7 linked regions of the Sus scrofa genome follow. The protein of the gene in region 1 interacts with the protein of each later gene in a biochemical or structural test. Links are inferred from orthologs where the notes say so. Each region holds a gene or a part of one and is shown in the gene's direction. Other genes may lie near its edges. The genes, in order: DLG1, CTNND2, CRHR1, VANGL1, MAPK12, KCNJ2 and FRMPD4.

Region 1 (3,500 bases):
TGCACTTTATGTTGTGATACCAAATCCACTTTGTAGATTTTTCTTGAGGCAAACACCAGTGAATAAATACAACAGAACACTGTTGTAATAACTAACATAAGGTAGATGCTCAAATATCAAATAAATGAATGAGATAATTGTGCCTTAAGCATTGTTTCCCTCTTTTAGGAATTTTCTAATTTAGGAATTCACTTTATCTTGGAAATTAAACATTTTGAATAATAAATTTGAATGGTTTAAGTATTTGTGAGCAAATTTATAGAAATCATAGATTTCTTGTTGTATTTTCACAAACATTCACAAAATGCTTTCCATTTATTTTCTGGGTGGGAAACGTGTATAAACTTATTTAGGATACAGAAAATCATATATATCTGACTTTGTATCTCAGGCTACAAAGAGTAAAGATTATTCAAAGTTCAAGTAAATTAATTTATTTTCTTAATAAATGTAACATTGTTCTCTTACTGAAATTCAGTGTTCCATTTCAGAAGGTATCTTTAGCATACTTTATTGTTTCCTTAGGCCATAGATTATGGCACTTTTCCTCTTCCCTTTGTTGTTTTTTATTCGTGGTGAGTTTCCTAATGTTTTAGGACTAAGAATTTTATATGGTCTGTTAAAAACAGTATCTTATTTTAAGGCTATTAGTGCCTTAAGCAGCTCTTCAGTTTCTAGATGTTACTTCTCACTAGATAGGATAGGTGGTATTTTAGTGAAGTTAGTTAACATATAAAATTAATAATTTGGCTATTTATATAAATGTAAACGTTTACTTGGTGATTCTGTTATTGGGCTTTTATTTGTGCCTCTTCTGTAAAATTAATATGTTCCATTTGTTTTCGCTGGAGAACTTACCTATAGTACCAACTCTACAGTATCATTGTCTTTGAATGTAGAATTTCTTTCCACTAAAGGAAGTTAGACATTGAAGTTTATCATGATCAACTTAAATATTTTAATTATGTTTTGTTCCCCTTCCCTGCCCAATTTGAGATGACCATCTTTTTTGTTTTCTAGTGAAATACCACGTAGTTGAAACTGAGATCTGTTTATTTTTGGGTAAATCAGTGAATTTAATCCCGGTTTTGCCACTTACTATCTCAGTGACCTTAAGCTAGTTATTCAGTCTGAGCCTCAGTTTTCTTATCTTAGAATCACTGCTCTGTTGCTCATGATCTGGGCAGCCTTGGGAAGGTTATTTAAACTCTTTGTGCCTCGATTTCTTCATCTATACAATAGGAATATAAATAAGCATTTACCTTGGAGCTTGTTGTAAGAGTTAAAACATTAAAAGAAGTTCCTGGCACATGGTTAGCGCTAAATAAATGTTTATTATTTTTCTAAAGTATTGTAATTTCTATACATAATCATACTTAAAGCTGCGATTATTATTTAATATTTTTGCATAGTAATCTGTTATTTGCACTATTTCTTTTGCTGGACCTTAGGAAATGTTTGTTTATATGAGTTTTGATAAATTGGAATTTAACATGCAGTTTCTTCTAATAAATTATTCTAGTAAATAATTCTCTCTAAAAAATGAGAATGAATGGAGTGCCCATCGTGGCGCAGTAGAAACAAATCTGACTAGGAACCATGAGGTTGTGGGTTCGATCCCTGGCCTCACTCAGTGGGTTAAGGATCTGGCGTTGCTGTGAGCTGTGGTGTAGGTCACAGATGTGGCTCGGGTCCTGTGTTGCTATGGCTGTGGCGTAGGCTGGTGGCTACAGCTCCGATTGGACCCCTAGCCTGGGAACCTCCATATGCCACAGGTGCGGCCCTAAAAAGCAAAAAAAAAAAAGAAAGAAAGAAAGAAAATGACAAGAAAAAGTGGCAAAGTGAAAAATTGATACTTAACATTTTAATATTTAATTTTTAATTTTAACATCTTCTCCTTAGGGTCAATGACTGTATACTGCGAGTAAATGAGGTAGATGTTCGTGATGTAACACATAGCAAAGCAGTTGAAGCATTGAAAGAAGCGGGGTCTATTGTACGCTTGTATGTAAAAAGACGGAAACCAGTATCAGAAAAAATAATGGAAATAAAACTCATTAAAGGTCCTAAAGGTATGAAATAAATCAAACTAAGACAAATTATTAAGATATCTCTAAGTGAAGTGTAACTATGAATTTATTTATGACACACATTTTAAGATTAAAAATACTTATAATCTACAGAACTTGAGTGAATGTTTAGAATTTCCCTGTTATTTCTAATGATTTTTATCTTAAGTAGAGTTCTGGGTAAACACTACTTTTGAAGTCATATACAAGTCAAACACAATGAAGTCATATACAATATAAGTTAATGTTGATATTAACTTAAAATCATTCATCTGCAAAGTACACCCAATACAGATGCACAAGCTAAAGAAAGTATTTTAAGAGCGTGTCATTAATAGTTATATCTGCAGTGAGGTCTGTTAAGATACAGTTTCTAAATTTTGAAAATATGATGGGTTTGAGGATAAATGGAAATACTTGTTATAATTGTCCTTCATGGAAAAAGAATAGAGAGCTACATTATCTGGTATTGAAACTATGGGACTTATGAATTATTGACATTCCTTATTTATTTATTTATTTATTTTTATTAAAACAATAACACTTTTATTTAACTTGAGGTTAGGGAGGCTTTTAAATAGGTTAACATTCCTTATTTTAAATTAATTAATAGAATATTGAAAAACAGCAAAAACATCCACATTTCTGACGCTATTAGCTCTGCCCACCACCACCAATTTTTTCTTAATTGTTTTAATCTGTAGTAGAAGTATTAAAAGTGTTAGTAAGAAGCACAAATATCATGGGAACAAAAATGAAAAATTTTTACAATATCTCTTTGAACTAACAAATGCATTTTTAAGGAGACTTTAAGAGGTAACCTGAGGCAGGAAAAGAAACTTATTTTTAACTTAAAACACAAACAGTAGTTTTCAGTCATTTCTTTCTGGACTTCAGTTTACATTTTTTGGTAAAATCCTAAAACTGGTTTTTTCCAAACAGGTCTTGGGTTCAGCATTGCTGGCGGTGTTGGAAATCAGCATATTCCTGGGGATAATAGCATCTATGTAACCAAAATAATTGAAGGAGGTGCAGCACATAAAGATGGTAAACTTCAGATTGGAGATAAACTTTTAGCAGTAAGTATTAGAAATCCACTGTTTTAAAAATCATTTTGATGTCTTTTTCTTTTGACGGATTCTAGAATTTCCACATGCTAGAAAATGTTTGTGATAATTTAAATGAGTGAATACCAGCCTTGCTTTAATGAAAACCTGAAAAATTACTCTTTAATATCTTTATTTGCCATTTCCATTTCATCTCCAGCTCCCCCCTCCTTTTATTCCTTTTTTTTCCTTCTCTTTTTTTATTTTTTTTAAAGCCTATATATATATATATATATATGTATATATATATATATTTTTTTTTTTTGGTCTTTTTTTTGGTGTTTCTTGGGCCGCTCCCACGGCATATGGAGGTTCCCAGGCTAGG
Region 2 (4,008 bases), on another chromosome or scaffold:
TTTAGCCTGGGAAGGGGGAAGAGGAGGAGGAAGAGATGGTGGCAGAGGTGCGCAAGTTGGAAGAAAGCATAGGGGGCGCTGGAGGAGGGGAACCTATTTACGACCCATTTCAGTTCCAGACTAGACAATGGTCTTTCTTGCAGTAAGTTGACACACATTCCAGACTCAAAACCAGAGGGATTTCGTTTAAGGAGTCTCTCCACTCGCGAAAAGCATGTTTAATCTAAGCCCTGGAAGTGACAGTAAGATTGGACAGACGTTGTAGGGAAGACCTGAGATGGATGTCTTGCCCTCTTTGCTCTAGAACCACAGGATTTGAGCGGCTCCATCTTCACCCAGCAGCGGGCACCTTCAGCCTGGCTTCTACCCCAGCACACACAGAAACTGTCTTAAAAGCCCCTCATCCCTGCCCTTTGTTTGCAGGCTGACTTCTGCCCCGACCACAATTAACCGTCAGCATCTTGCACGTAAATGAAGTAACCCGTCCTTTGAGAACCGGTCCATACCGGGGTTCCAGGCCTTCCCCCGGTCCTTTCTAGTTTTCGCCTGGTTCGCGAACATCCACCCATCTGAGGGCTGGGGTGTGTGTTCCCAAGGATGCTCGGCCCTCTCGCAACCCGGGGCCTCCTCCCCTCTCTCCTGCTGCTGCCTCTGCTGCCGCGAAAACCAGGAGAAGTGGAATGCGCACGGCGAAGCGCCGCGCTCGCGCGGCGGCACTGGGCATGCTCGGCACCCAGGGCAGGTTTGGGCGGCGGGGCGGACGCTGCCTCACTAGCCCGGCGCCCGAGCCGGCCGCCGAGGCATAGGTGGAGGCTGAGGCTGCCGCGCGCCGCGGGAGGAGCCTCGCCCTCGGCGGCGGCGGCGGCGGCGGCGGCGGCGGCGGCGGCGGCGGCGGCGGCGGCGGCGGCGGCGGCGGCGGCGGCGGCGGCGGCGGCGGCGGCGGCGGCGGCGGCACAGGTGGCGCGGGCCGCGCGCGGGGCGCAGCACGGGAGCGCTCGGCGCCGGGCGCCGCGGCGGCCCCAGGCTCGCGCCCGCGGCGGCAGCCGGCCGAGCGGAGCGGCGGGCGCGGCTGTGGCGGCGGCTCTCTCAGCCCGGCCGGCGGCGGCGGCGGCGGCGCCCGGATCCCGGAGGAGCCCGCGGAAGCCCGCAGGAGCCCTGAGCCCGCGGAGCCCGCGGAGCCGGGCAGGGGGCGCTGCGCTCGCTGCGCTCGGAGGGGCCGCCGGGCCGGGCTCAGCGCACTCGCGTCGGGAGCCGCCTCTCCCCCGCGGCGCTCGCCCCTGCTCCCCGCCAGCATCACTTGTCCCGCGGCCGCGCTCAGACAACAAAAGCGGAAGATGCTGCAGTTGGGCAAGGTCAGGACCTTGCCCTGAAGCCGGGCGGCGGCGCGCACGCCTTTCCCCGGACTGAGGAGCTGTCGTTGGCGGCGGGTGCATGTTCGCGAGGAGACAATCGGGCGCCGCGCCGTTCGGTGAGTTGCCTTGGCCGGGCTGCTGGGGCCGGGCGCATCCCGCTTGGCGTCGTCCTCCTCCTCCTCGCCCTCCTCCTCCTCGCCCTCCTCCTCCTTCTAGCCGCCGGTGGGGGTTGGTCCTCGGCTCTCCCCGCCGGCTGGCGGCGGCGGCTCCAGCGCGGTCCTGCCAGCCGGGGGAGGACCGCGATCGCGCTAGGTCCCCTCTCGGAAAACGGCTCTGCCTGGAATGGGGGCCAGGGTTAGTGCTTTTCTCAGAGCGGTTACCAAGTGGCTTCTCCGCGTGCTCCCCCTCCCCGCCACCCATCTCCCCCGGAGGAGGCGTATGTAGGGCAACACCAACAATACCGCTCCCCGCCACCCTCCAGAACAGACCCGTTGCATTCATGACGTCCCTAATATACGGGAGAAGACGGGTGGGGGTGGGGAGGACTTCCCTCCAGTCTTTTGCCCTTATGTTCAATGTCATTACGATGTTTGGCTAGAACAAAATGGAAATACTTAGTCATTTGCGTCCATGGCTGTTTCTTCGGTCTCCCGCTGCTTGCCAGACCCAGAGCCCTTTGGTCTATATTTAGCTGTTTCAGAGGAAGCATTTTCAGCTCGATTCACAGGTTTCGGGGGCTTCTGCGTCCTGACAATAGATAGAGAGGCTCCGGAAAGCGCCGCCTGAAACCCAGGTTTGGAACGCTGTGCGTGTGGGTGGGATGTTGCGATGCGATATTTGGGTGATCGGTAATTAATGGCCGAAAGCAAAGCTGCTTTTCTTTTTCGCCGACCTTCTCTCATTCTGGTATGTAATGTGTTTCCATCGATTGCTGCTCGGCTGGTTCCAGCCACTACATTCAGAATTAAGTCACTGGAGAGGTGGTGCAGCCTTCCTGGTCTGTGTGGTAGGAAAACAATCTGGGAGGTTTTGGGGTGTGCGTGTGTTTCCCACAACGAGCAGTTACTTCTAAAATGCCTAAAGTTGCGCTTCACTGCAAATTTGGGGGATAGTGAAGAGTGGGAAGAGAGAAAAAGAGGGGCAGGTTGTGGTTTCCAAGGTGTTATTTTCCCCTTGCGTGCTTCAGTTGAACTGATCTGATTTGCTTGGGCTCTGAAAGGTGTTTTTCACATGCATGCTTAATGTTACCAAGCAAATATGTTGCTTTAGAAAATGAATAGTTATAGACATCTTTCAGGACTGATATGGATGTATATATTTTCACTTTTAGAAACTATGTGACTGATATTTAGGATGCTTGGACTTTTCTGCAACGATTTCCATGAAAATAAGGAGGTGCTGCAACTACCTGAGAGTTATCTCATTGTGCATCCTTCCATCAGCAGCTTTAAACTACCACCAGCTGCTGATGATAATTCAGTTTGTCTCTTTGCTGGTAGTAAATCACATACAGGATTAGAAGCCTTTAGAGCTGCACCACTTTTAAAATCCGGTGGGAAAGTATTTGATATGACTCATATTGAACTACAGGACTGAACCTGTGCATGACTTTGGGGGGCTTGCTGTATGGGAAGTATGACAGAGAGGGGCAGGCATTCTCAAATAGGGACTTGATGCTAGAATTTAAACCACCGTGAAATCTCTTTGCCACACACACAGAATCCATTTTTAATGTTTGGGGGGAAATGTTAAGTGGCACCCTTTCTGGTCTGTGGGTTACAGGATCTCAGGACTTGAATGAAGATGATTGCATTTGGGGCGAGATGTTGAAATTTGGGAGGCCTGTGATTATACAGCTAAAGAGTCTCAGTGTCTTGGAAAGACTACTATCGCCCATACGGCTGGAGTTAACTGAAGAGTGTGGTTAGTTTTACCAATATTGCTTGAGTTTCACCTTTTTCACATTCAGAGAACTTTCCAAGAGCACTTTGAACACACTCTTGTGCTTGTTGTGTTGTTTTAATATTAGATTTTTTGCAAAAAAAGAAGCAGTAGGTGAAGTAGATATTCATGTCTTTTGACTTTTCCTTTTGAATCTAGTGTTTCCGTTTTAAACATGATTCTTAAAGGACTAGTGGAGATTTCTCAGTGCCTATGTGTGCATACAGAGCAGCTGATGGGGGAGGAAAAACTACTTGTATGAGTTTTTTTTTTCTAATAAACTTTTAATTGGGAAATTTTTTATCCTCTGTGCTTTTAAAAAAGTTCTATTTAAGTATAGTTGATTTGCAATGTTGTGATAATTTCTGCTGTATGACAGTGATTCAGTTACACTATACACAGATCCTTTTTTTTTTCAGATTCTTTGTTGTATGAATTTTATGTTACATTGTGGGTTAAAGATGATAATACTTGATTGAATGGCAATTGTAGTGAGTACGGAAGGTTGTTGCTCTATTAAAATTGTCATAGTCTTGTGGGAAGGAGTTATTTAATTTGGTGTATGTTTGTGTCATTGTATAATCTAATCATTATAGATGTCACTGATGTTTTCCTTGTTTGTAATAAAAGTCATGCACTGCCAAATTACAGTATTTCTATCAACTTCCCATCTTCCACAGTTAGCCCACAAGCCAATTCTTTCTCCCACTGAAAT
Region 3 (3,500 bases), on another chromosome or scaffold:
CACTGCTCTGGGGGACCCCTGACTCCCAAGGAGGCCCCCAGCCCAGCTCTGCCTGACACTCCCCAGGGGGCGTCAGCCATGTCACCTTCCCTGTCAGGGCCCCAGTTTCCTCATCCATATAGGAGGGTGCTGGGAGTCAGACTCAATCTGAGGCTCCCTAGCAGTGCTCTGCCTGAGGTGGGGCTGGACAGGCAGGTCCAGGCTCTCTTTATCTGTCTCACAACAAGCAGAACAGCCTAAAGGCTACTGGCAATCTTTGGAGCCAGACCACCCAGTTTCCGAATCATGGCTCCACTGTTCAGTAGCTTTATTACCTTGGGCTGCTTACTACAGTGTGCCTCAGTTTCCTCATCTGTAAAATGGGCATCCTTGTAGTAGTGCCTCCTTCAAAGGGTTGTTATGGGGATGACATAAGTTAATATCAAGACAGAATAGGGAGTTCCCATCGTGGCTCAGTAGAAACGAAACTGACTAGTATCCCTGAGGACATGGGTTCAATCCCTGGCCTCGCTCAGTGGGTTAAGGATCTGGTGTTGATTTGAGCTGTGGTGTAGGCTGGCAGCTGTAGCTGCAATTCGACGCCTAGCCTGGGAACTTCCATATGCCGAGAGTGGGGCCCTAAAAAGCCAAACAAACATCAAAAAAACTTAGAATAGAGTCTGGCACATAGTAAATGCCATAAAAATGTTTTCTGATAATGTTTAACAGAAGATTCCGTGGATTTAACAGAAATGAATCTGGACAATCTCAGAGACTCCTTCTAGCTCTAAAGTCCAGACAGACCTTTTAAATGGAAGCAGATGTTTCCAATCACCCCTGAAAACGGATGAGGTAGTTCTCAGCTTTGGTTCATGTTAGAATCATTCAGGAAGCTTTAAAAATACCAATGCCCAGGCTTGACCTCCGGGGAGATGGATGTCATTGGTCTAGAGTATGACCTGGGCACCAGGATATTTTAAACCTGCCCAGGTGATTCTAATGCAAAGCCAAGATTAAGAAGCAGAGGCAGAAAAAGTTGGTGGAGGAGGTGCCAGCACATTCTTTGCCAGAGTGTTCTCAGGAAGGAGCTGACAGGACTGTGGCCTGGATCCCAGAGCACCCAGGATTGTAAATCCCAGTCGAGGGAGACTGTGCTTGTAGGTGTGCATGTGAGTACAGAGGCAGAGGCAGAGGGGAGGAACACGTTTCGAAAAACTGCCCAGGGAGTTCCCGTCATGGCTCAGTGGTTAACGAGCCTGACTAGGAGCCATGAGGTTGCGGGTTCGATCCCTGACCTCGTTCAGTGGGTTAAGAATCCGGCATTGCCATGAGCTGTGGTGTAGGTCACGGACGCGGCTCAGATCCTGCGTTGCTGTGGCTCCGGCGTAGGCCTGTGTCTACAGCTCCGATTAGACCCCTAGCCTGGGAACCTCCATATGCCGCAGGTGCAGCCTAGAAAAGACCAAAAAAAAAAAAAAAAAAAAAAAAAAAGCTGCCCAGGAGTTCCCATTTTGGCTCAGCAATAGAAAACATGACTAGTATCCCTGAGGATGTGGGTTCAATCCTTGGACTTGTTTAGTGTGTTAAGGATCCGGCCTTACGGTGAGCTGAGGTGTAGGTCGCAGACGTGGCTTGGATCTGGCGTTGCTGTGGCTGTGGCTGTGGCATAGGCTGGCAGCTGTAGCTCTGATTGGACCCGTAGCCTGGGAACCTCTATATGTTGTGAGTGCAGCCCTAAAAAGACCAAAAACAAAAAAAGCAAAAAAACAAAAAACAAACCCAAACACCTGCCCAGTGTTTGTCTGGAAAGATACCACCAGAGCTCTGAGGAAAGTCAGTCTGATCGCCTCTGGAGTGCCACCTTGTGGTGAAATGGTGACACTGCAGCAGAAGGGATCCAGGTGTGAGTCCTGAGAAGGAACCTGCAGGTCTGAGGGCCAAGGACTGGACCTGGCCCCAGGACAGCCTGTGTTTGGTCAGCACAGTTTTTTTGGAAAACTTGAATTTATTGCCAACCTTGAAAAAGTCAATAGGTTTCACATAAAATTTTCAGTTTCTTGTTTATGGAAGCATCATGAGATCTAGGTACTGCAGATTTGCGTCCTAGCTGCTCAACAGTCTCTGCTCCACAGTCTCTGCTCAAGGCCATAGGACTTCCTATGTGCCCCATCCCAACCCACTCCCCAGACCTCTTTAGATCTCGCTGGAAGGAAACTCAAGAAAACACAAGGCAAGTCTGCTTCTCCCGACAGGTGAAACCTGTAGAATCTCTGCCTCCAGGTTGTTCAGGCTGCAATTAAAGACATTCAGGGATTGTTAGCTAGAGCTGTCACTGCATGACAGGTGGAGGGGAAGGTACCACTTGTGGGCATGCGCCAGAGCCACTGTGGGCCAAGGGGAGCTGTGTGTGTCGAGCCCATGCCTATTCTATTCAGTGGGTTTTTTCCACAGTTCCCCTTGGGCCACTGGGCCTGCTTCTGCCTTTACATCTCTAAGGATGCTGTCCATTCTGCAGATGGAATGACTGAGGCAACGTGGTGGGATCTTGACCAGTTCTACCAGGGTTGGAATTGGGGCACCCAGATCCTGGCTTTTGGCTCCAGTCCTGCCCTGGCCCAGCACTGCTCCTCCCACGTGACACTCAAATGGACCCAGATGACCCTCCTCCTCCTCCCTCTGTGGCTTTCTAGGTGCTGGTTTGGCAAAAGGCCTGGGGTATACACTGACTACATCTACCAGGGCCCCATGATATTGGTCCTGCTGGTAAGAGCCTGGGTAGGGGGGCAGGAGAGAGGGGCTCAGTGGGGACGGGCAAGCGGTGCTTTCTGTGGACAGAAAGGATCCCTCTCCCAGAGGTGAAGGTTGTGGGGCCAGAAATGTGCATGGGCTCACGAAGGCAGTGGGGAGCAGCAGGGGGACAGAGGCCAGACCTGAGATAGCTGAGTCCCTGACCTGTCCCCACCCACCCCGCCACTGTCCTGCACACATCCATGCCCATGCCACCGCACTGCGTGCTCAAATTACAGATCAACTTTATCTTCCTTTTCAACATCGTCCGCATCCTCATGACCAAACTCCGGGCATCCACCACTTCTGAGACCATTCAGTACAGGTAAGCAGTGCTGCCTTTCCCACCGAGGGGGCTTCAGAGACCCCACCTCTGACCCAGGGTCCCTGCCACCAGATCTGAGAGTCCTTCCTGAAACCCCAGCTCCCTGTCTCAGACGGGGGTGGGGGTCTGCTGCAGCCCTCCCCCGGACCCGGTCCTCTTCACCAGGCCGAGGCCCCAGCCCCCTCTGGGGGTGGGCTGTGACTCAGCCTCCCCACCTCCCCCCATCTCAGGAAGGCTGTCAAGGCCACCCTGGTGCTGCTCCCCCTCCTGGGCATCACGTACATGCTGTTCTTCGTGAACCCCGGGGAAGACGAGGTCTCCCGGGTCGTCTTCATCTACTTCAACTCCTTCCTGGAATCCTTCCAGGTACAGCTGCCCGCCCCCTCCCGCCCTGGCTATGGCCCTGGCC
Region 4 (3,500 bases), on another chromosome or scaffold:
CACACCAGCATCCCCTCCAAGACTTCTTTCTAAACCATCAAATGAAATTTCACTTGATGAGCCCAACTGCTTGGGCCTTCAGAGGGAATCTTGCTCCAGTGGTTCCCAAAGGTTAGCCTGCAAAAGCATCACCCGGAGGGCTTGTTAAAACACAGATTTCAGGTCAGGTTCCGGCCCCACCCACAGAGGTTACTTATTTTTCAGTGGGTCTAGAGTGGGGCCCACCCAAGAATTTGCATTTCTTAGAAATTCCCCACTGATGATGAAGCTGCTGGCCCTGGGCCCACACTCTGAGCGAGCCCGTCCTATATCCCCAGGCTCTTGCTGGTTTCCAGGATCTGAGCACATTAGCCAAAGTGGACAAAGACGGTTTTCATCCTGTGTGCTGGGCCCCTGCCTTCCTCCTTCCCAAGGGCTGCTGGTGTGGGCGGCCGGCTGGGGGAGATACAGCTCCAGGTCTTTGTCAGGCTGCTTCCGCACCAGCGGCCACCCCTCAGTGCACGCAGAGCCTTATGCAGCCAGAGTTTGAGGGACCCTAAAACTCTTTTCCTCTAACCCTTCATTGTACAGATGAAAAGGACGAAGTGAGTCTCCCAAATTAGTGGCAGAATTGAGAGCGGTCCCCTCCTCGTTCTAGGGCTCCTTCTTCCTCCCCTGAAGCCCCCATCCCCTGCAGTGCATTTGCCTTTGCCCTCCTCTCCGTTCCTGCCAGCCCCCCCCCACAACCCCCGCCATCTGGAGTGGCAGCTGAGGACGGGGAGCCGTGGGTGCGCTGGTGGCGGACTGGGGCACAGCAGGCGGGCAGACGTCATCCCGGTTCTGTCTGCCTCTGTCCTCGAGCCCCGCCCCACGGTCCCGATGCCCTTGTTTCGGCCCCTCCAGGCTGGTGGTCGCGGTGGAGGAGGCCTTCATCCACATCCAGCGTCTCCAGGCCGAGGAGCAGCAGAAAGCCCCAGGGGAGGTGATGGACCCCAGGGAGGCCGCGCAGGCCATCTTCCCCTCCATGGCCCGGGCTCTGCAGAAGTACCTGCGCACCACCCGGCAGCAGCACTACCACAGCATGGAGAGCATCCTGCAGCACCTGGCCTTCTGCATCACCAACAGCATGACCCCCAAGGTGCGGCTGGTCACCGAGCTCGGGGAGTCCCACTTCAGGGGTGGTCAGGAGTGCGAACATCAGAGGCTTCTCTCAAGCGCCAATGAATAAGAATGAGGGATTCTCACTTATTTTGTGCGGTTTTGGCACAGTTGCTTTTTTAAGTTGCCTTTGGAGGCCTCTGGATTCAAGCAGAGGAAAGACTTTCACTTAGAGATGGTCCAGGTGGCAGCTCGGGGTACGCTGGTTTCTCGTTTCTGGTTGACTCATTCTAACCTGGCTTTCTGTTCCTTTCTGCCAGTGGGAAACCTTGGGCCAGGAGCTTAATGGCTCTGTGCCTCGGTTTCCTAACCTGTAAATTGGGGATAATACTAGTATCTACTTCATTGGGTTGTTGTGATAACTAAGAGGCACACAGTTTTAAGCCCGTTCTTGTGCAGGGCTTAAAACTGCATCTGTCCTAGTGGAAGGACCAAAGAAATAGCTTTGATTATCAGCGGTAGAAACAAGGCCATCACTTGGGCGTTTTGGGGCTGTTGTGGGTTTAGTTTTACTAAATGGTCTTTTGGATTATGACGTGAGCACACCGCGGGGGATGTGGCAAACAGCAATGCATCTACTAGACGGATGTGGCCAAGGAGGCAGCACAGAGTAAGGGTTCAGCAAATGACCGCTCTTCAGATAGAAGTGGGTTCACCTCCAGGCTCCACCACCGAATTGCTTTGTGACTTAGCCTTAAGTTTACACTTGTTTCCTCTTTTATAAAATGAGGATAATGATAGTATCTACTTGATAGGATTGTTGTGTGGGAATTATAGTAAAAATGGCAGCATGACAGGTCAGTCACATGGTAGAGCGTAAATGACCTTGACATTTCGTACACATGTGCACTTGGTAGTGTTACTGTTGGTATAAGGACCTGTGTTCAGACACTGCCCTGAATGTACACAACTGCTGATGACATTGTCGCTAACCAGTAATGACACTTAGGAAAACAACATGGGTTTTCACACTCCTTGACTTACTAGCCCCTCTCCTGGAAAAAGTATTCAGCACAGTCAGCTCATATATATGAATATACATGCAGGTGAGTTTTTGCAAAATAGTCTGTATTCACTCAAAACTGGAAATAACTTAAAAATAGAACAGTAGCTTATAAATTCTGGTACATCACTTATTAAAACACAGAAGACTCTTTGTTGCTATAATAATAAGTTACAAAATGCAGAATACAAATAAGTGTGAACGCTGTGGTTGCAAGTGAGCCCAGTAAGTCTGGGTGTACAGAGTGATAGCTCGTGCCACACAGAATGGAAGTGGTTATTTTCCTTTTTTTCAAGGTTTTTAAAAAGGTTTCCTGAGGGCTTTCTTTTTCACTGAAAAAGAGTATACTTTTCTGAATAAAAAATAATATTTGCATGAAAATGTTAACATTAAAGAAAAGTATAATGGGAGTTCCCTTCGTGGCTCAGCAGTTAACGAACCTGACTAGTATCCATGAGGATGCAGGTTTGATCCCTGGCCTTGCTCAGTGGGTTAAGGATCCGACGTTGCAGTGAGCTGTGGTGTAGGTTGCAGATGTGGCTCGGATCCCGCATTGCTGTGGCTGTGATGTAGGCCTGCAGCTGTAGCTCCAATTTGACCCCTAGCCTGGGAACTTCCATATGCCACGGGTGTGGCCCTCAAAAGCAAAAAAAGCCAAAAAAAAAAAAAAAAAAAAAAAGCAAGAAAGAAAAGTATAAGGTACAAAGTGAAGTTTTGATTCCCCTAATCCAGACAGTTCTTACTGATATAAAGACTGGGTGTATATTCTTTCCGGGTGGGTGTGTGTTTTCAAAACAGAAATAGGAAAAAAACAAAAACCAAAAAACAGAAATGGGATCTCAAACTATATAGATAAAGTATGGATACTAGGTTTTTTCACTTAAAGCTGCTCTTGGCTGTCTGTCCATGTCAGGCCTTCACACAGCTCTAACTCTTTCTCTCCAATAGCTGCATCCTAGCCCACTGAATACCGGGGTTTGTTTAACAGACTGCCTACTGATGCACTTCTGGAGTAAGATCGTTCTTTAGTCTGAATGAGGGCTTGGCTCTTTTTGCTAATCGAGCTTTCCTGGAACACAGCCACACCCTTTATTTACAGATTGTCGACAGCTGCTGTCTCTCTACCAGGACAGACTTGAGTCGTTGTGACAGTGCGTGCCTTGCAAAGCCAAAAATATTTACGTTTAGAGAAAAGTTTGCCAACCCCTGGCCTAAACAGAGTTGCAGTAAATCCCTTTTTTACATGTGTTTTTGTGTATGTAGGCAATTATTTCAGAAGGATGCATTTCTGGTAGAGGAACAGCTGGATCAAAGGCACAGATCCTGCCAAATTGTCCTGCTAAGTGGTGTCACTCTTTCA
Region 5 (4,065 bases), on another chromosome or scaffold:
AGATGGCGGGCTGCTTCAGCCCACAGGCACACCCCCAGGGGGAATCAGGCAGGGTATCCGCAGGACAGGGACAGCCTATGTCTCTGCCTAGGCCTTGGGGTGCAGACCACTGGGGAGGTGGGCCTCCAGAGGCCTGGGTGGTGCGGGTACTGGGCTTCTGGTCCTGGAAAACCCCTGGAGACCAGGCTGGGTCCAGTCCTGGGCGGGGGGCCGGGGGCGAACAGGAGCAGAACTGGGACATGCCTCACCGGGGAGTCTGGTCTGACGCAGAAACCTCTGGACTGCTGGGGGCTTCCTGGAGGAGGCAGGCAGAGTGCCACAGGCAGCCCAGGGCATGAAGCACCTGGGGAGAGGCGGTGGTGGCTCCAGTGACCCCAGGCTGCTCCCACTGACCAGCCGGCCACTCCAGAGCGCCCAGATGCCCTCGGCAGCCCAGGTGTAAAGCTGCTCTGGCCAGGCCTGAGCTGCTCAGCTGCTGATTCATGGTGCAGGGCACAGAGGGCGGGGCAGGGGGCCCTGGGGATCTTCTTACCCCACTCTCTCTCCCGCCTGGGTCACTGGGCTAGGGCAGGACAAGGAAAGGACTGGGGGCTCTGTCCTCCAGGAGCAGCGGGTCAAGGAGGGGCCAAACCCATGAAATGATGAAGCCCCCACCTGGGGCGGGGCACTGAGAGGCCCCTTCACCCCTGGGGTCAGGCACACCTTCCTGGAGAGAGAGAGGAGGCTCCCGCTGGCCTTTGAACAAACCAGAGGGCCTAGGCTGGGCAGGGGCAGGACAGGCAGAGGGACTTGCAACTGTGTGACTTGGGAGATGGAACCGACTTTTTCCTAGGGAAAGGGGGAAGGGGGAAGGCAGGTGCTGGGGACGGCGGAGCTGGGGCCGACCAGGCGGCGCGCTGGGGGGTGGACAGTGATCGGGGATGGGCTGGGCTGGAGGTTGCCCAGCTCCGGCGGGCCGCCCGCCGTGGGCCAGCGCCCCGGGGCGGTGCTTGCAGGCGGGAGACGCGGCCCCTGTTAAGATGCCTCCTCTCTGGAGGTCTGCGGGCTTCATCGCAAGGGCAGGGGCGGGCGCCGGGGGCTGGGCCGAGCCGGGGCGGCGGGCGCCGCTCCCCGTCCCCTCCGTCCCCTCCCCCGGCTCCGGCTCCGGCCTCCGGCGGGGCGGGCGGGCGGGCGGGCGGCCGCCTCAGGTTTCCGGAGGGGCCGGAGGGCGGGCGCGGCGTCACGTGCGCGCGGCCCCGGGGCCGGTTGGTGCGCCGGCCGGGGAGGGGCCGCGCTGTGCCCGGGCCGGGGTCGGCGGCTCCGGAGAGCTCGGAGGCAAGAGCCGGGAGCGGGGGAGCCCCGGCGGCGACGGGCGGCGCGGCGCGGCGCCGGCTCTGCCCCGCGCCGCGGCCAGGGGCGCGCGCCAGGGTGCCCCGCGGAACCCGGGCCCCGGGTCCTCGGGGCGCGGGGTCTGCGGCGGGGCGGTGCCCGGCCAGCCATGAGCGCCCCGGCGGCCGCCCGCAAGGGCTTTTACCGCCAGGAGGTGACCAAGACGGCCTGGGAGGTGCGCGTCGTGTACCAGGACCTGCAGCCCGTGGGCTCGGGCGCCTACGGCGCCGTGTGGTGAGCGCAGGCCGGGCGGGGGCCGGGCGGCGAGGCCGGCCCTCCCGCTAAGCGGTGCGTCCCGCAGCTCGGCGGTGGACACCCGCACCGGGGCCAAGGTGGCCATCAAGAAGCTGTACCGGCCCTTCCAGTCCGAGCTGTTCGCCAAGCGCGCCTACCGCGAGCTGCGCCTGCTCAAGCACATGCGCCACGACAACGTGAGTCGCGCGGTCGCCTCGGCTCCCCGCCCCCCCCCCCCGCCCCCGCGCCCGCGCCCGCCTGGCCCGCAGCCCCTCGGCGGCGGCGAGGCCCTGGAGAGGACTCCGGTCTGGTCTTTGGCTCCTTCCCGAGGCCACATCCGGCTCGTCCGCCCGGCCCAGGCCCCGGTCAGGGGACGACGTCCTCTTGCCCGGGGGCTCACTCCAGGTCCCGCCTCCAAGCAGGATCCCCGAGGCGAGAGGCGACCTCAGGTGGGGGGCGAGTCTCTGGAAGGGGCACCGTGTCTCTTCTGGGCACCCCTTCCTGAACCCGCTGTGCTCCCTCTACCTCCTGAGCCCCAGCCCTGGGAGCCCCGAGGGGGCCTGTGTGGGCCTTGGGGAGCTGGTGTGCGAAGGACACGGGGCACACGCCTTCCTCACGTCCAGCGGCGTGCATTTCACAGCCCTTGGGGTAGGGGCTGGACCCAGCCTCCGGCAGGGAAAAGTCTGTTGCGTCCGGAACTGCCTCAAGCCTCTCCTGGGAACGCTGCTGGCTGCTAAGAGCCCTTCCCTCTGCTGGGGGTGCTCCTGCTGTTTGCCTGTGGCCTTGAGCTCTGTCCCCTCCCACACAAGCCACCCCTGCCCAGTCTGAGGGCTGGTGATCTGGGCGCCCAGACCCCGACTGATCGTGGTGGTCTGGCACCTCCTGGCTCATCAGAACCACGAGAATGAGCCTCCGTGTCCACCAGGAAACTCACCCCTTGGCTCCTGACCAACGCCCACCTCTCAGCCCCTCGCAGAGAGGGTCCTTCTTTCTCTCAGACTCCTCTACCCTTGACCCTTCCCGGGTGGCACCCATTCACCAGCCCAGCCGGGCCTTTACTGCCTCTGGGTCACATCTGGTCACACTCAGGCTTGTCCTCTCCCAGAGTCCTCACCCGGCTTCTCCCCACCACCTGCTGCTCCAGTGCCGTCTCCAGGCCTTCTGTCCAGTTACCTCCCGCCCCGATCTGTACCAGTGGGTCCTTCTCCCAGGGGAGCCCCTGACCCACAGCGCGGAGCGCTGCAACCTGCAGGGCTGTTCCAAGAGCTTCCTAAACCCAGTTCCTAGGAGGAGCTAGGCTCGGTGAGGCCGAGTGGCACACCCGCGTGAGCTCCTCCGTCCTCCCCCCCCCCCCGCCCCGCCCCGCCCCGCCCCAGGCCCCGTCTGCACCGCAGAGGCCTAGAGATCTCCATCAACCTGATGGATACCACCTGCCCCCCCCCGCCATTCCTGCCAAAGCCTCCTCCCAGGGCCCTCGGCTCACCTGCCTCCAGGCCCCTCTGGATGTGCCACTCTGTCCCCTCCACCCCGCCCACATCTCTGGCTCTGGTGTCCGCTTTGGTCATCTAGCTGTCCCTCCACCCCCATCCACCTTCACCTCACTCTGGTTTGTCCCCATATAGCAGCCAGGGGACACATTCAGCATCTCACCGTCCTCAGTGGCTCTTAGGATCAAAGCAAACCTTCCCTGGTGTTCGAGGGCCTGCTCGGGTTCCCTTCGGCTTCTCCTTGGCTACTCCTTGGCCTGGTCCTTGGCCACCTGGCCTCTCTCCCGTGTTCCTCAAACGCACCAAGCAATTTCCCTCCTGCCCCGGCCATCATTTGCCTGGCCTCTGCCAGGTGTCCCCCTGCCAGCACATCCACCTGCTCCTCCAGCCACTCTGATTCTCAGCCTCCCAGGGTCCCTGGAGGCCTTGTCACTGGAACCCCAGGTAGCAGTTGTCACATTACCTGTCTGCTGTCCATCACCCCTGGTCAGAGGGCTGTCGATGTGGCCACAGTGTTGCCTGCCTGGGCCTCTGGCAGAGGCGCAGCCTCTCGAAGGAACTCTCCCCTGAGAGGCTGTCCCCACAGTGGTCCTGGGTCTTCAGTGGGGACAGCAAGAGGGGGAGGAAGGGCCATGGGGCTGGCGCTCCTTGGATGGCCTGGGAGCTGACCCAGACTTGGGGCCGCCCCTCCCCTGGAGGATCCTGGCTGTCACCATCCCAAAATAGCCTTTGTCCATGGGCGTGTGTGCCAGGGCTGGGTTGAGCTGCTGGTGGGCAAGAGCCAGGCCCTGAATGGTGGGGGGAGACCAGGCCAGTTGCAGGAGGCTTTCCTGCCCAGAGCAGGCTGTGTCTGAGCCCCCGTGTCCCCGGCCAACCTGGTGCTCTGGCCTCCTCCCCAGGTGATTGGACTGCTGGACGTGTTCACGCCTGATGAGACCCTGGATGATTTTACAGACTTGTGAGTGCCGCCTGGGGC
Region 6 (3,266 bases), on another chromosome or scaffold:
GAGATAGATTTGGTTGTTTGAAAAGTTGAGAATTGCTTTTATTTTTCAGTTCTGTGCTATATTCAGTTTAAGAAATTTTTCTTTGATTCACAGAACACCCTAGACTTTCTCTTAGGCTTTTGTTAATCAAGGAAAAATTGTTTCTTTGGAGCAAAAATGGAAAGTCAGTCGATGGTTTTTACGGGGGGGGGGGGCAAGAGGAGAAAACTGAAAACTACTGTTTGTTCACATTTAGTGAAGGTGAGCACCTTCTCCATAGGAACACAGGGCAAGCAGTAGCCCTGGAAGTGAAAGTAAGCTGCCTGATCCTTATAATGTACTCCTACAAAGCTGTCTCTGTTTGGGAAAACACAGACTTGGACTTACATGAAATGAGTTCCAGCTTTATCTCAATCCGCTAAAGACCTGGTCCTTGGGTGCAAAGGTGCTTACTTCCTAGCCTGTCATTACACATGGCAATCCCATCTCCAGAGAATTTCAGGACTCTGCTTGCTAGGCAACAGACTCGCTCTGTATCCCCCATAGCAAACCTGCGTCTTGAAGTCAGAATCCCTTGCGCTAACAAAGATGTTATCAGGCGTTTCTGCACAGTGGCTGCTCTAAAGTGTGTGAAGTGATGGAGCAAGCCCAAACAGTCTCCAGAAAGTGGGATCCATTTCAGATGATTATAAGGGCTGTCTGCTCAGTTTTATCTTTTAAACAGAATAGTCTGTGCCTTCGCAGTTCAACCCTGTCATCAAAGGCTCCAGTATTCTCCCAGAATGCACCTGCTACTCAGTTAATAGTAACATTCTACATTCAAGGTGAAATGCTCTCTAGACATGTCCGAGTTCACAAAGCTTCATGACAAAGCCTTGGAGTAAGGGAGTCTTCCTTTTGCTTAGTCACTCGGGAGCAGAGCAAGTAGAGGAGGCAAAAGAAGAGAAAAAGAGGACAGAGGTGGATCTGTAAAAGAGAACATTCCAGATTTGTTGGGGGAAAAAAAGAAAAGAAGAAGAGGGGAAAGGGGGAACCTGTGATTTTGGTTGAAAGACTGTCACAGGTAACTAATTCTTCTGTGTTCGATGACTTCGTTAAAATAAGAAAATACTTGCGGGGGCGGGGGGGGGGGAGGGGATACAAAGAAAGGAGAAACCCAGTGAGTCAACCTGGAGTCTGTTTATCTACATCTGACCCCATGTCTTGCTAGGAAACGTTGCCTAGGGTGTAGAACCCTTTTATAATGACTCCTGTAATGAGGGATCTCTCTGTTTTTGCAGGACGTGTTCTCTGGATGTCAGCTGAGTTGCTAAGGTGACTCCGCATGTCAGGAGACAGACCCTGGTAGACAGAACCTCAAGGCTCCTGGAGACCCCCATCTCTCCTTATTTTTTTTTGTGTGTGTGTGTCCTCACCGAACATTCAAAACTGTTTCTCCAAAGGGTTTTGCAAAAACTCAGACTGTTTTCCAAAGCAGAAGCGCCGGCGTCCACAGCCGAAGCGATGGGCAGTGTGCGCACCAACCGCTACAGCATTGTCTCTTCAGAAGAAGACGGCATGAAGTTGGCCACCCTGGCGGTTGCCAACGGCTTTGGGAACGGGAAGAGTAAGGTCCACACCCGGCAGCAGTGCCGGAGCCGCTTCGTGAAGAAGGACGGCCACTGTAACGTGCAGTTCATCAACGTGGGCGAGAAGGGGCAGCGGTACCTGGCAGACATCTTCACCACGTGCGTGGACATTCGCTGGCGGTGGATGCTGGTTATCTTCTGCCTGGCCTTCGTCCTCTCGTGGCTATTTTTCGGCTGTGTGTTTTGGTTGATAGCTCTGCTCCATGGGGATCTGGATGCATCCAAGGAGAGCAAAGCTTGTGTGTCCGAGGTCAACAGCTTCACGGCCGCCTTCCTTTTCTCCATTGAGACCCAGACGACCATCGGCTACGGCTTCAGGTGTGTCACGGACGAATGCCCGATCGCTGTTTTCATGGTGGTCTTCCAGTCCATCGTGGGCTGCATCATCGACGCCTTCATCATCGGAGCAGTCATGGCCAAGATGGCCAAGCCCAAGAAGAGAAACGAGACCCTGGTCTTCAGTCACAACGCGGTGATCGCCATGAGAGATGGCAAGCTCTGCTTGATGTGGCGGGTGGGCAACCTTCGGAAAAGCCACCTGGTGGAGGCTCACGTGCGCGCGCAGCTCCTCAAATCCAGAATTACTTCTGAAGGGGAGTACATCCCCCTGGATCAAATAGATATCAACGTTGGGTTTGACAGTGGCATTGACCGTATATTTCTGGTGTCCCCAATCACGATCGTCCACGAAATAGATGAAGACAGTCCTTTATATGATCTGAGTAAGCAGGACATTGACAATGCAGACTTTGAAATTGTTGTGATCCTAGAAGGCATGGTCGAAGCCACCGCCATGACCACACAGTGCCGGAGCTCGTATCTGGCCAACGAAATCCTCTGGGGCCACCGCTATGAGCCTGTTCTCTTTGAAGAGAAGCATTACTACAAGGTGGACTATTCGAGGTTCCACAAGACTTACGAGGTACCCAACACTCCCCTTTGCAGTGCCAGGGACTTAGCAGAAAAGAAATACATCCTGTCCAACGCTAACTCATTTTGCTATGAAAATGAAGTGGCCCTCACAAGCAAAGAGGAAGACGACAGTGAAAACGGAGTCCCAGAAAGCACGAGTACGGACACCCCCCCGGACATAGACCTTCACAACCAGGCAAGCGTACCTCTAGAACCCAGGCCCTTGCGGCGAGAGTCAGAGATATGACTGGACCCGCCTCTGGAATAGTTACTCTAAAACACAGTCTGTTGGTCAAAGGCCCAAAACAGTGATTCAGACGACGGTACTGGTGAAGAGGTGGGTCGAGACAAGTGGCCGCGAGGGACTGAGGTTAGCACAGAGGGCTTCAAAGAAGGACTGTAAGCTCGAAGATTAACATAAAGCACTAAACATGCCTCCCCGTGACCCGATGATGGCACATACATGTTGTAGAATAAGTTAGGGTGGGGTGTTTATGTTGTGTTTTGTGTTTTTACAAAACTTGAACTTGCAGGCAAGCCTTGGTTGGTTGGGTGTTTGACTTATCCAGAATGCTTCTCTTTAGGGAACAAGAATGTTTTTAATGGCATAACATTTTTAAATGTTTTAAAGGCAAGACTCTGCCTTAACTTTTGAAAAGCTGCTAACTACATGAACACAAATTGTATTGTTGCAGTGTAGTTTTTTCTTTTGTGTAATTTAAAAGTCAGTGTTGAACTTGGTTGAAA
Region 7 (3,500 bases), on another chromosome or scaffold:
AGCTTGGTCTCAACATCCTGAAGCTGATCCCACCCTGCTACCATCAAACATTCACTCGGAATCAAAGGTGCCAATTCCAAATCAAGACCCTAATGATTTCTCCCAAGAAAACCAGGCCTACAGAGAGGCTGTGAGCTGGCGGCCACTGGATCTGAGAGGGGGGAGCCTCAGGACACCCCCCAGCCAGAGGGCTCTGAGACGGAGCAGCAGTATCCTCTCGGGATCTGTAAGTTTGGAGACCTTCCGAGAGAGAAGCAAGGGTGCAGTCAGCTTAAACTGTCCAGGTATCAGAGAAGCACAGGAGGCCAGTTCAGAAAGGCGAGCAGAACTCCCCCTGGGGAAGAAGCTCACCAAAAGTTGTTCCCAAAGCTCCATGCACTTTAGCTCTGAGGGGAAGGTTCAGAAAAGGTCCCCGGTGGCTCACAAAGACTCAAAGCTGTATAGGACATTGCCCTTGCGGAAGCTGGAAGGCAGCAATTGGAGATGCCGGGGACCCTTCAGCTACTGCTTCCTGAACCGAGGGCAGGATGAAGATGGTGAGGAGGATGAAGAGGAGGGAGAGGCCACCCGCCAAGTCTCTTGCCTCTTTCGACCACAGATGACTCAAGCCATGCCAGAACCAAGCAGCCCACCCCTGGCTGTTGGGATTCGGAAGCAAGGAGGGGAGCTGTCCAGAGGTTCAGTGCTGAAGGTCTGGGCAGAAGACTTGAGTGGCCCAGATGATGTGGACTTGAGCAACCTGGCTTTTGATGCCCAGATTGCAAGAATAAATGCCCTAAAGGAGAGCATGTATGCAATGCCCGATGGGTTCCTCGCAGCCCAAAATGATGCCAATGAGCTGCTCTGCCTTGTCAGGGCAACCAAGGGGAAGAAAGAAGAGTCACGCCCTGAAGCCTATGACCTAACACTTTCTCAGTACAAGCAACTGTTATCCATTGAGTCCAGACAGTTGGGAAGTGCCTGTAGGAAAATGGCAATGGCTGAAAAAAGCCCAGAGGAGATGCTCCTAGCCATGACTTCCAGTTTTCAAGTGCTCTGTTGCCTAACAGAAGCCTGCATGCGATTAGTTAAAGTCGTGAACTCAGAAACGCAGCGGCAGGAAATTGTAGCGAAGATTGATGAAGTGGTCATAAACTACATCTGTCTCCTGAAAGCTGCTGAGGCAGCCACTGGAAAGACCGCTGGGGATCCCAGTGTTGGACTCTCGATGCGACATTCAACCACCATGGCCGCTCTCGTAAGCACACTAACACGTTCTCTCAAGATGCTTTTAAATAAATAAAAGTATGAAAGTCATGTCATAATCTACCTTTGCAAAGCCATACATGAACTTTTATTTACTTTATGTGTACGATGAACAGATGTCTCCTTTCTTCTCTCTGTATATTTTGTTATTTTATATGAAATAGGAGATGAAAGTCGCATTGATGAAAAGTTGAAATGTACTAATCCAGTTGTATTCTGTTTATATTATACATATATATACATGTAAAAGGAATATACAAGAAAGTGGTGACCTTTGGCTATTTTTCATATAGTCAAAACTCCAGGTATATGATATGAGATTTTAAATTCTGCTGTGTTGGAGCAAAACAATGAATCCTATCCCCTTTCCTTCCAAGCGGATACTTGGAGACCATATCATTCATATTTAGAAGTAAAGACAAAAACGAAAAGAAAAATCACAATGTATATAAAACAATACTTATGTTTTAAAATTATGATTTTTAAGCATTGGAAATAGCAAAAATACATTTAAAATTCAAAAAGCTATTATGAATTATTAGAGAATATATATAATAAATTAATTTTTTGCTCATAGTGTTTGGTTATCTGATGCTTTTTTCCAAGAATCCTACATATTTAATTTTGGCTTATGCCATTTGGGCTAGAAATGGGGTGGGAGTGGATTCTATTGTGTCAACACAAATGCTGTTCATGATGTTTCTAGAATTAAAAATATTTCCCAAATGGAAGAACAGAGGGAATGATGGGCAGGTTCCTGGGTAGTATCTAGTTGTAGACAATCTAATTGCATAAAATGAAAGGAATTAATAATACCAAAATGAGATTGGTTGATGAAAAGAGAGATCTGCTTTAACTCAATGTCAAAATATATAAACCAAAGACACCATCTCCCTGCCCTTCAGTTCAGCCATGAAACGTAGAATTCCCTGAAGAGTGACAGAACATTTAGTAAAGTATTTGCAGAAGTACAAAAAGGAACAGTTAATGATCCTTGCAAGTAAATGCAGGTCCAGTAACGTAAAGCCAACCGCACACCAGGCTATGAGTCACATCGACGATCACAGCTCTCAGCATAGAGCTTCGTGCATCACCTCTACAGGGGCCAACGCTCCCAACCAAATTGACAATTACAGTCTGACACTGGGACAAAACTTAAAATCTGGAATGTTCCAGAAAATCAGGGAGAGAGAGCTACTCGGATATGGAAGCCATACTTAAATAAATCATAAAGTATTTGTGAAGTGTTCTAATCTGGAGTGGCTGATAGAAACACAAAAGCTGAAGAAAAAAAAAAAGTGGTAAATTTGACCATGTTAAGTGAACCTGATGGAGCACAAAGAAGTGTTTAGAACCATCGTCTCTCTCAAAATGTATCTTTGGGTCAAAGCGAAAGGATGCAAAGTCTGCAACTGTATAATAAAGTTGATATGTACATATGTGCTTCATGGCTCATTTAGTGTTCAAGCTACACACACTCCGATTTATGTAGGTGGCTTCTTCCAATGTGACAGGAGTGTGTCCAGTGCAGATATTTCCATTTTTATAGGCATAATATGGTCCCCAATTGCTATCCCTCTCTCGTCAGTTGTTCCTTAGAGATTCAGTAACAAAAGCCACACATATTTATAGGTGGTAGCAAACAAAAGAAATTTAGACGTGTGTTATTATAATGTTTAAATAATAAAACATTATTTGATTACAAATATTGATGTTTGATAGTGAGAAATATTAATGGTGTTTACTGTGGAAATTTTTGGTAAATATTCTGTGTACTAAAATACATATTAATAGGATGTGTGTTCTATGTCAGACAATGTGCTAAACATATCATATATATTCTCTCATTTAATCATCACAGCGTTCTTATGGTTTGGACACTATCGTTAATTCCCTATGGAGGCAGGATAGTTTAGTAGTTAAGGACGTGGGGTTTGGGGTCCAAAACTTCTTGATTTAAATTTGGACTCTGCCATTTTCTAGCCCTTTCATCTTGGGAAAGCTAATCAGTTTCTCAGTCTTGATTTCCTTCTCTTAAAATGGAATTCAGTAGTAAGATCTCTTTCCATAGGATTGTCATGAGTTCTAAGTAAAATTATGTATATAAAGTTCTCACCACAATACCTGGCAAAGAGCAAGCACTCAGTGTCAGATGTTATTATCATGATAAGTATCGCATTAAATATATTGCCCAAGATCCTCTGTGGGGGCTGTTTGTTTTATATGCATATTGTATCCTGACTCTGTGCAGAATG

What was found.
Region 2: the proteins of DLG1 (region 1) and CTNND2 interact in a test that uses a peptide from one of them, tested with the Homo sapiens proteins (2 studies listed by IntAct, with this or other methods). The link is inferred for Sus scrofa from reciprocal best matches to the Homo sapiens genes DLG1 and CTNND2.
Region 3: the proteins of DLG1 (region 1) and CRHR1 form a complex in vitro, tested with the Homo sapiens proteins (3 studies listed by BioGRID and IntAct, with this or other methods). The link is inferred for Sus scrofa from reciprocal best matches to the Homo sapiens genes DLG1 and CRHR1.
Region 4: the proteins of DLG1 (region 1) and VANGL1 interact in a test that uses a peptide from one of them, tested with the Homo sapiens proteins (2 studies listed by IntAct, with this or other methods). The link is inferred for Sus scrofa from reciprocal best matches to the Homo sapiens genes DLG1 and VANGL1.
Region 5: the proteins of DLG1 (region 1) and MAPK12 interact in a test that uses a peptide from one of them, tested with the Homo sapiens proteins (2 studies listed by IntAct, with this or other methods). The link is inferred for Sus scrofa from reciprocal best matches to the Homo sapiens genes DLG1 and MAPK12.
Region 6: the proteins of DLG1 (region 1) and KCNJ2 form a complex in vitro, tested with the Homo sapiens proteins (2 studies listed by BioGRID and IntAct, with this or other methods). The link is inferred for Sus scrofa from reciprocal best matches to the Homo sapiens genes DLG1 and KCNJ2.
Region 7: the proteins of DLG1 (region 1) and FRMPD4 interact in a test that uses a peptide from one of them, tested with the Homo sapiens proteins (2 studies listed by IntAct, with this or other methods). The link is inferred for Sus scrofa from reciprocal best matches to the Homo sapiens genes DLG1 and FRMPD4.

Annotation. Positions count from the first base shown.
Region 1 is NC_010455.5:132,969,931-132,973,430, forward strand, and holds part of DLG1 (disks large homolog 1), read left to right. Parts: intron 1-1,902; coding exon 1,903-2,072; intron 2,073-3,011; coding exon 3,012-3,148; intron 3,149-3,500. UniProt on the Homo sapiens protein: Essential multidomain scaffolding protein required for normal development. Recruits channels, receptors and signaling molecules to discrete plasma membrane domains in polarized cells.
Region 2 is NC_010458.4:1,518,974-1,522,981, reverse strand, and holds the start of CTNND2 (catenin delta-2), read left to right. Parts: upstream 1-1,208; 5' UTR 1,209-1,431; coding exon 1,432-1,468; intron 1,469-1,479; exon of another isoform or gene 1,480-1,706; intron 1,707-1,737; exon of another isoform or gene 1,738-2,258; intron 2,259-4,008. UniProt on the Homo sapiens protein: Has a critical role in neuronal development, particularly in the formation and/or maintenance of dendritic spines and synapses. Involved in the regulation of Wnt signaling.
Region 3 is NC_010454.4:17,254,309-17,257,808, reverse strand, and holds part of CRHR1 (corticotropin-releasing factor receptor 1), read left to right. Parts: intron 1-2,669; coding exon 2,670-2,742; intron 2,743-3,005; coding exon 3,006-3,091; intron 3,092-3,321; coding exon 3,322-3,457; intron 3,458-3,500.
Region 4 is NC_010446.5:105,000,354-105,003,853, reverse strand, and holds part of VANGL1 (vang-like protein 1), read left to right. Parts: intron 1-882; coding exon 883-1,117; intron 1,118-3,500.
Region 5 is NC_010447.5:428,370-432,434, forward strand, and holds the start of MAPK12 (mitogen-activated protein kinase 12), read left to right. Parts: upstream 1-1,265; 5' UTR 1,266-1,477; coding exon 1,478-1,602; intron 1,603-1,669; coding exon 1,670-1,799; intron 1,800-3,988; coding exon 3,989-4,047; intron 4,048-4,065. UniProt on the Homo sapiens protein: Serine/threonine kinase which acts as an essential component of the MAP kinase signal transduction pathway.
Region 6 is NC_010454.4:10,355,032-10,358,297, reverse strand, and holds KCNJ2 (inward rectifier potassium channel 2), read left to right. Parts: upstream 1-1,482; coding exon 1,483-2,766; downstream 2,767-3,266.
Region 7 is NC_010461.5:9,436,539-9,440,038, forward strand, and holds part of FRMPD4 (FERM and PDZ domain-containing protein 4), read left to right. Parts: coding exon 1-1,282; 3' UTR 1,283-3,500. UniProt on the Homo sapiens protein: Positive regulator of dendritic spine morphogenesis and density. Required for the maintenance of excitatory synaptic transmission. Binds phosphatidylinositol 4,5-bisphosphate.